Linked DNA regions of Canis lupus familiaris. The protein of the gene in region 1 purifies or fractionates together with the protein of each later gene. This does not show direct contact. Links are inferred from orthologs where the notes say so. Each region holds a gene or a part of one and is shown on either strand. Other genes may lie near its edges.

The links.
Region 2: the proteins of ZC3H4 (region 1) and WDR82 purify together in Homo sapiens (affinity purification with western blotting; 4 studies listed by BioGRID and IntAct, with this or other methods). This does not show direct contact. The link is inferred for Canis lupus familiaris from reciprocal best matches to the Homo sapiens genes ZC3H4 and WDR82.

Annotation. Positions count from the first base shown.
Region 1 is NC_049222.1:109,556,819-109,561,383, forward strand, and holds the start of ZC3H4 (zinc finger CCCH domain-containing protein 4), read left to right. Parts: upstream 1-1,567; coding exon 1,568-1,728; intron 1,729-1,790; exon of another isoform or gene 1,791-1,805; coding exon of another isoform or gene 1,806-1,858; intron 1,859-1,864; exon of another isoform or gene 1,865-1,979; coding exon of another isoform or gene 1,980-1,993; intron 1,994-3,166; exon of another isoform or gene 3,167-3,190; coding exon of another isoform or gene 3,191-3,228; intron 3,229-3,321; exon of another isoform or gene 3,322-3,477; coding exon of another isoform or gene 3,478-3,500; intron 3,501-4,472; coding exon of another isoform or gene 4,473-4,565. Other genes in the region: SAE1 (SUMO-activating enzyme subunit 1), read right to left, coding at 4,473-4,565. UniProt on the Homo sapiens protein: RNA-binding protein that suppresses transcription of long non-coding RNAs (lncRNAs). LncRNAs are defined as transcripts more than 200 nucleotides that are not translated into protein.
Region 2 is NC_049241.1:37,911,820-37,915,622, forward strand, and holds part of WDR82 (WD repeat-containing protein 82), read left to right. Parts: intron 1-2,981; coding exon 2,982-3,081; intron 3,082-3,554; coding exon 3,555-3,671; intron 3,672-3,803. UniProt on the Homo sapiens protein: Regulatory component of the SET1/COMPASS complex implicated in the tethering of this complex to transcriptional start sites of active genes.

The DNA.
Region 1 (4,565 bases):
CTTTGGCCCAGGGCGCGATCCTGGAGACCCGGGATTGAGTCCCACGTCAGGCTTCCCGTGCATGGAGCCTGCCTGTGTCTCCGCCTCTCTCTCTCTCTGTGACTATCATAAATAAAAATTAAAAACAACAAAAAAAGGATGACATTAAACCCCAGGATTCAGCTAAATGGGAGTAGTAGTTCCTCTTAGTACAGCTGTGAGGGTCTTAGTCCAGCTTTACGCTTGCACACCGTTTGAACCAGGTCGATCGCTCCCTCCCGAAGCACTTATTGCGAAACTTCCCGGTACCACGCTCCAAGTTCTGAAACTTCCCGGAGGCAGTACCAAGGCCCGCCTCTCTCGCACCGCCCTAGGTGACGTCACCGACCGAGGTCTCTAATGACGTCAGCTCCGGGCCGGCTCGGCTCCATCCTCCCCTTCTCCGGAAACCTACAACTCTCGGCACCCGGCCTCCAGCTTTCGGTTATTTTTTTTTCTCTTCGTAGCCCGAATTCCTTCCCTCCCATTCTCCCACCTAAAACTTTCAGCTCTTCCCGCCTTCCCTCCAGCTGGCAATTTTCGGTTCTTCCCGCTTGCTCTCGGCCGAATTTCCCACCCTTTTACTCTGTAAATCGCCTTTCGAGCCCCGCCCTTCGGCCTTTTCCGTCTAAATCCCTCTTTCGGCTAATTCCGCCTCCTGCCGTCCACCTCGGATGCCGCCTTCGGCTCCTTCCGGATCGCCTCAGTTCCTTGTTTTTCTCCCCCCAACTCCGTCCTGGTCCGCTTCGGCTATCTCCGGCTCCCGCGGCTTTCCATCTATCCTTTAGCCACACCCACGCTGCTACCTTCGGCTCTTTCCGCTCCCCCCCGTCTCCCGCTCAGGCGCTTTCGGCTCTTTCCGCCTTGCTTCGGCCTCACTCTCTCCCTTCGGGTCTTTCCGCCGCCCTTCGGGAGCGGGCCGGTGCCCCTCTCCACGTGACGCCGCCTCCGCCTCCTCCTCCCAGTTCCCCCTCCCACCTCGCCCTTCCTCCCGCCTCAGCCTCCCGGCTCCTCTGGGCCGAGCCGCCATTTTGTGTGAATTTCAGACTGCGGCGGGGGCCGAGCAGCCGGGGCACCGAGGGCGGGCAGACAGACAGACAGTCGGCCCGTCTCCGCAGCCCGTTTCCTCTCTCCTTAAAATCCTTTTTTTTAACCCCCTCGCTCGCTCTCCTCTTCTCCCCTCTCCCCTCGCTTGCTCCATCGCGCGCGGCCCGCGCTAATTACACCCAACCACCCACCAGTGTCCGTGTCCCCCGGGTCCCCCGCCTGTGGGCCCGCGGGGGAGGTGTGTGTGGGGGCTCTCGCCCCGATGAGGGCCCCGCGCCCGTGAGCGAGTGACCCCAGAGGCGGGCTGCGGAGAAAGGCGGCGAGCGGCCCGCCGAGGCCTAGGCCGCGCGGCCTACGCGGAGGTCGGCGCAGAGGTGATTCCGAAACCGAAAAAATATATACCCATTCCTATCAGGAGCCCTCAGAGCTGAAGTGTGCCCCTCCCGCCACGCCCAAGCAGTCCTTTTTCGTGCATTAACATCCCCTCCCCCCCAAAGGAACTATGGAGGCCGCGCCCGGGACCCCCCCGCCGCCACCATCAGAGTCGCCGCAGCCGCCATCGCCGCCGCCGCCATCAACGCCTTCGCCTCCTCCGTGTTCCCCCGACGCCTGCCCGGCCGCCCCGCACCTCCTCCACCACCGCCTCCCGCTCCCTGACGACAGGTCAGGCCCCCGGCCCGGCCGGGGCAGCGTCCCCGGGGGGAGGAAGAGGAGGAGGAGGAGGAAGGGGGGCGGCCGCCATGTTGGGCCGGGCCGCGGAGGAGGAGGAGGAGGAGGAGGAAGGGCGGGGTCGGTGGGTGTCTCTCGCTCGCTCGCTCTTTCTCGCTTGCTTTCTCTCCTGGCCTCATGCGTTTCCCCCCCCTCGCGGCGCTCGCCCGCTCTCCCTCGCTCTCGCTCTGTCTTTTTTGGGCGCCATGCTGAGGGGAAGGTGAGGAGGCGCCCCCGGACCCCCGCGCCCGCCCGCCCGCCCTGGGGAGGGGGCGCTGGGGGGGGGCGCTGCGGAGGCCCACGGGGGTCCTGGCTGCCCCAGCGCCCGGAGCTGGCAGCCATGGGCCCGCCTGCCCGTCGCCTGGCTTCGGGGAAGGGGATGGGGGAGGGGCTCCCGGACCCTTTTGGTGGTGGTGGGGATCTCGAGGAGTATCCCCGCTCTTAGGGGTTTGGAGTTGGGGGTCTCCCAGTCCCTGGCAGTATCCTTTCTCTTGGGGGAGGTGTGCCCTGCCCTACTTGGAGAGGTACCCTAGTTTTCTTAGGCAGAAAGTGGGGTTTCGTTTAGTCCTTTTTTCATCCTTTTAGTGGGGGGGGTCCTTAGGGTGGGGGCACTCGCACTTTTATTTTTTTTTGGCGGGAGGTGGTTCCTAGTTATTCCCTAGAGGGCAAAATTGGTGGTGGTGGGGGGGTGCGGATCTCTAGCTCCTTTGATGGAAATCCCTGCCTCCTTTTGGGGAGAAGCCCCTTCCCCGTATTTTTCCTTAAAGGCAAGGGTTCTCTAGATTTTCGTAGGTAGATGATGCGTTTTTGGAGGGGGGGGGGTGAGGTTTGGTTTCCCTGACTTGGAGGGGAGAGGAAGTTGGTCTCTTCTTTCTCATGGGTTCCCTCCTCTTTGGGGCTAAAATGGGGCGCCATCCCTTCCGGGAGAGAAAATTAGGGTTTTTTTTTAGTGTTTTGGCAGGGGTGAAAGGGAGCGCCCCCCATCCCTTCCTCTTTATAAAGTGCGAAATGGGTTCGCCCCACTCCCTTCCCTGGAGGGTGATAAAAGGGCCAGCCTGGCGCGTTTCAGGGCCCTCGTTTGCCCTGCTCCAGCAGAGGGTTGGGTGCAGGGTTTACCCTCCCTTTCCCGGTGGGGCAGAGGAAGAGGTATCTAGAGACTGGGTTTGGAAATGGAAGGTTTTCAGCCGGCAGGAAAGGCAGCCTGAGGAGGAGTGGGGGTGGGGAGGGGAAGCGATCTCGCTGGACAGATAGATGGCTGCCCCACAGCAGCCCGGGCTGGGGAGCCGCTTGAGGACCCTCTCCTAGATCAGGGGTCTTAGCTAGGGCCTCCTTGCCAGGCACCATGGCCCCTTCTCCCCACTTCCACCTCCCCTTTTCCCTTTCTCCTTCACAGACCATACTTTGCCTTTTAAAAGAAATGCCACCCACATTCAGAGACACAAGTGCAGCAGTTTGGTGAGCTTTTACAAAAAAAATTTTTTTTTTTTTTTTTGGTTTTCTGTTTTGTTCTAATTAAATGTATCGTCCTGGGAATCGCAGCCCATCGCAGCCTGCCTCCAGTTCAAGGAAATAAACAGATTAGCAAAGGTCTGTGCGCTAAGCCCACGTTGGGTTTCCGGGCCCCCTCTTGGGGGCAGGTGCATTACTCAAAGGTGCTTACACGCTTTATTCGACCTCTAAGGAGTTCTCTTATGTCAGAAGTGTATGTCTTACAATGGGTTGGGATGGTAAGTAGCCTCTTTTATTGAGTAATTCAATTATCTCCCTCTTTTTGTCCCTTTTCCTGCCTGCCTTCCTCCTGCCTTTAAAGACCAAAGTGATGCTTGAGTGAATTTATATGTTCGAATCAGGATTCTAACCCAGTTGAGCCCTTTTAGACTTGCACATCCTTTCTATCTTTAGTTTTTTTAATTTGTCGTACACAGTTTTCTCAAAGGAAAAAAAAAGCGTTACTGTAACATGACAAAAACTTATGTAAAAGACCCGTAGGTTTTCAAGCCCTTGGTTTCCCTATCTCCGTTTCAGTCCATTGCTTTGTCTCCAGCCTTCATCTTTGAAGAAAGTGGATACTTCAGATCCATTTGGTAGGAGACAAGGTTAACTGAATTCGGTTTATGATACTTGCATTCGAGTTAAGGTTCTCCCCTCCCTCCACCCCTACTACTACCCCCCCCTCCCAAAAAAAGATTGTGGTTCAAGTAGATCCAATTTGTTCCTTTTACTCCCAATGTCTCTTATGGTGATGGACGTTTAAATTGAGCAAGTCATTTGTAAAGTACTGTTTAAGCACCGAATCTGTAAAGCGTGTCAAGCCCCAATCTCCTCTCCCTGTCTCCACTGTTCCTTTGTTCGAAAGCACATGCCTGACCGTGAAAAGTTGATGCAAACACGCCCAGTCATGGTGGAGAGAACACTTCCTCCAGCCCCCTGCACCCCCCTCCCCACACATACAAGATAAAAACAGCAACAGAAATGACTTGCAGAACCAAACAAGTACTTCTGATGTGTTTTACAAGCATAAGTTCTTCGTTAAAAGACAAAACACGTTGAAGTTCCATTTTCCGTCTTCCCCACTTTTGGTCCCTAATGTACTTTGGTAGCAAAAACTTTATAACACACAGCCCCATTTTCCCCTCTGAAAGATCCTGTTTCCTTTTTTTTTTTTTTCGTTCTTAGGAGAAAAACAAAAGTTCACTCACGTTGGGTTGAGGAACCTTAAGCTGCAATTTAGTGGGCCACTGGTCTTACTCTTTTCTCTCCATATGCTCACAGCTCCACTAATGTGAAGTGGT
Region 2 (3,803 bases), on another chromosome or scaffold:
GCTTCCCAAAACAGTGTTTTCAATTCATGTCTATTCTGATTTCCAGACTCCATTTCCACCTCCAGGTTTTATATACGTCTAAGTAGGTGTTTCTTTCATGCCCCCACCTGATAGGTCCAGCACACCATCCCTCGTTGTTACATGCCTTGGGCCCACTCTTCTCTGTTTGTGTCATATTTCCTCATCACTGTTCTTCTAATTATCCTGACTCAAAGCCTCTGTTACTTGTTTGCTTTCTTTCCCTGCTTTCACATGTAGTGAGCTGTTAATCCTATTGATTCTGCCTAGGTTTAACCTCATGTGTCACTTCGCTCTGTTCTTTCCTTTTCTTCTGCCCCAGCTCATGCCCTATATCAAGTGAATTATTGGCAAATCCTAATTAATCTCCCAATCCCTCATCATCCTGCTTTAGCATCCTATGTACAGCTCTGACCACTTCACAGTCTCTGCCCGGAAACTTTAATGGTTCGCTGTATCTGTCTGCTCCTTTCCTTTGGAATCAAGCTTGCCTCCCTTCAGCTCTCATTTTCTTAGCATTATCTCCTGACATTTGAGTTAAGGTGAACTCTGGGCTGCTTCCTGAATGTGGACCTCATGCCTTCCTACCTGGCACTTTTTCTGTAAGGGCATTTCCCGATGAAATCCTGTCCTCTATGTGTGCTGCTTCTTCTGGAAGGCCTTCTCTGACCATCTCTCAGATTTCTTTGGGCTAGTTAAGCTTTCTTATTTCTTAAAGTTGAGGTTTTGCTTCTCATTGTATATCCTTTATCTCTTAGCATAGAGTCTTGTGCCAAGACAGATTTCCTCTGAGCTTTTGCCCTGAATACCATGGCATTAAAATTACATGTCCACATGCATTCTGCTCACTCTTTTATTACCACCTCAGCATTCAGGAAATTTTGGCTTACGATATCTTTAAATGTTTAAGTTGAGGAACTAGTCCAGATATTAGTTGAGTTGAATTGTTAGAAATTCTTCTTTAGATAAAAACTTTATTTAAAAAAGTGTATTTTCTCATTTTCTATTCATGGCATAAATTTTAATTCTTTCCAGTGGCACGAAAACTTCCTGAACCCCTTACAGTGTCATCCAAAACTTGAACAACTTCTATTTCTAGATTTTTTTTTTTTTTTTTTAAGTTCATTCACGGGATCCCTGGGTGGCGCAGCGGCTTAGCACCTGCCTTTGGCCCAGGGCGCGATCCTGGAGACCCGGGATCGAATCCCACATCAGACTCCCGGTGCATGGAGCCTGCTTCTCCCTCTGCCTATGTCTCCGCCTCTCTCTCTCTGTGTGACTATCATAAATAAATAAAAATTTAAAAAAAAGTTCATTCACAAATAAGCTGTGCGATTTTGGTCATCTTTTTGACTTCAAGCTTTTGTCAAAATGAGATAGCACAACACCAACATTTCTTTTATAATCTTCATCTATAATATCAGCTCCTGTATCTGTGAAGTGTTTTACAGCCAAGCCAGAATGTATGGAACTACTCTTCCATAATTCGGAAGGAAGAGTTATCCAAATGTCTGTTTTCACAAGGGCTTTCTCTGTAGGTGGTACTGTAGAATCATAGGTGCTATATAGGTCCTAGCTCCCCTCATTTGGGTTGGGGTTGTGGTGTGTTCTGAGAGGCAGATGAAGTAGAGCCACGTGCCGTCCTTCCTTGCAGGCCAGGCCCAAATGCTTGGGAGGCAGTGTGTATCTTCAGAGCAGGGTGTGGTAGAGTGAGAAAATGAGCAGAGGGGACAAGAGAGCTCAGGGTGAACCTTTTGAAGAGAGGTCTTCTAGTGAGTGACTCTTAATGCTATAACCACAAAAGGGGACCCATATCAAAAATACAGTTGCTATTAGCACAGACCTGTGGCTTAGTAAGTGTGGTGCCCAAGCCAACAGTCTTATCATCACCTAGGAGCTTGTTAGAAAGAAGTACAAGTTCTCAGACCTCACCCCAGACCTACTGGATTAGAAGTTCTAGGAGTAGATCCCAGTAGTCTGTGTTTCAGTCCACCCCTCGGGTGATGCAAATGGCACTCAGGTTTGAGACTGTTAGTGTAGTCCTCAAAACCCTAAGGAATCATGAGAGTTTTTTGTTTTGTTTTTTAATTGTAATATAGTTTAATACCATAAATTCATCCTCTCAGAGTACCCAGTTCAGGTTTTTAGTATATTCACAGAGTTGGGCAACAATCATCACTAATCCAAAACATTTTCATAACTCCCAAATAGAAACCCTGCACCCATTAGCAGTCACTTCTCATTCCCTCTTCTCAAGTCCCCAGCAATCACTAATCTACTTTCTGTCTCTATAGCTTTGCTTATTCTGGATATTTTGTGTAAATGAGACACTGTGTGGCCTTTTATGTCCAGTTCTTTCATTTACTATGTTTCCAAGGTGAATACATGTTGTAACATGAACCAGGGCTTCATTTCTTTTTGTTAGCAAATAATGTTTTATTATATGTATGTACCACATTTTGCTTATCCATTCATTAGTTGATGGGCATTGGGGTTGTTTCTACTCTTCGGGTAATATGAATAATGCTGCTGTGGACATATGTGTACATTTTTGTGTAGACATACTTTCATTGCCCTTGGGTATATACCTAGAGGTGGAATTTCTGGGCCCTTTAGTAATTATCTGTCTTTAACTTTTTGAAGAACTGGAAAACTTAAAAAGCAACTGCACCATTTTACATTCCAGTCAGCAATGCGTGAGAGTTCTAATTTCTCCATATCCTTACCAACACTTATCTATTGTGAAGTAATATCTCCTTGTGGTTTGATTTACATTTTTATGTTGTAGTTTTGTTTCTTTTCTCATTATATTAGTTGCCTTTGGTTATTCCAGATTACTTGTATATGTATGTTTCTTAAAATGGCAGTTTTGGAAGAACAGGTGTAGATAGAGGGGTTTAGAGTTCACATCCAATTTTTGCAAATATTTTGCTTCAACTCCTATTTATCTTGATGCATTGCAGGGTGGTGGCCTTGTCCATGTCACCTGTGGATGACACTTTCATTTCTGGGTCTCTTGATAAGACCATTCGACTCTGGGATCTCCGGTCTCCTAACTGCCAGGTAATGGTACCTCACAGTTACACTTTGAGTGTTTTCTATGGTAGGCAATGTCATCAGCTCCTCCTCTCAAAGAAAGGAGAAAGTAATGATTCTATTTTGAGATCCCAGAGTCTTTCTAAACTTTGGAGAAAATCTGTCTTCCTGGTAGGTAGCTGGTAATTAAGCAAATACACTAATCCAGTGCATATTGTGTTATGCTCTGTGGCTTTTTGCTTTCAAAACCGTTTTCCTAAAACCTGTGAGCTATAGCTTTTATTTGAATTCAGTGTTTATAGAATTGTACAGTTAGGGCTGATGAAGCTAGTTTTATGGAGATGTGTTTGTAAAAACCCTCATTTTAGTTTTTTGCTTTTTCATTCCCTAGGTAGGCAGGTATCCTTTTTTGTGTCCCTTTCTTAGTTTTTATTGGAAAAAATTAATTATATAATGGTAGAATCCTGGGTTCATTAACTTTTCTTTTTATTTTTTCTTAGGGCCTCATGCATCTACAAGGCAAGCCAGTTTGTTCCTTTGATCCAGAAGGGTTAATTTTTGCTGCAGGTGTCAATTCTGAAATGGTTAAACTTTATGACCTTCGCTCTTTTGATAAGGTAAAACCTTTGAGTCTTTGAGCTATCTTGACATTACAGAAGTTTTGAAGGGTAAGATGGGAGCCTTTTCCATGGTAGAGGAGGTATGTGGTAGACTTTAGAGAATGTTGGAGCAGTAGTTCTCCCTCTGCG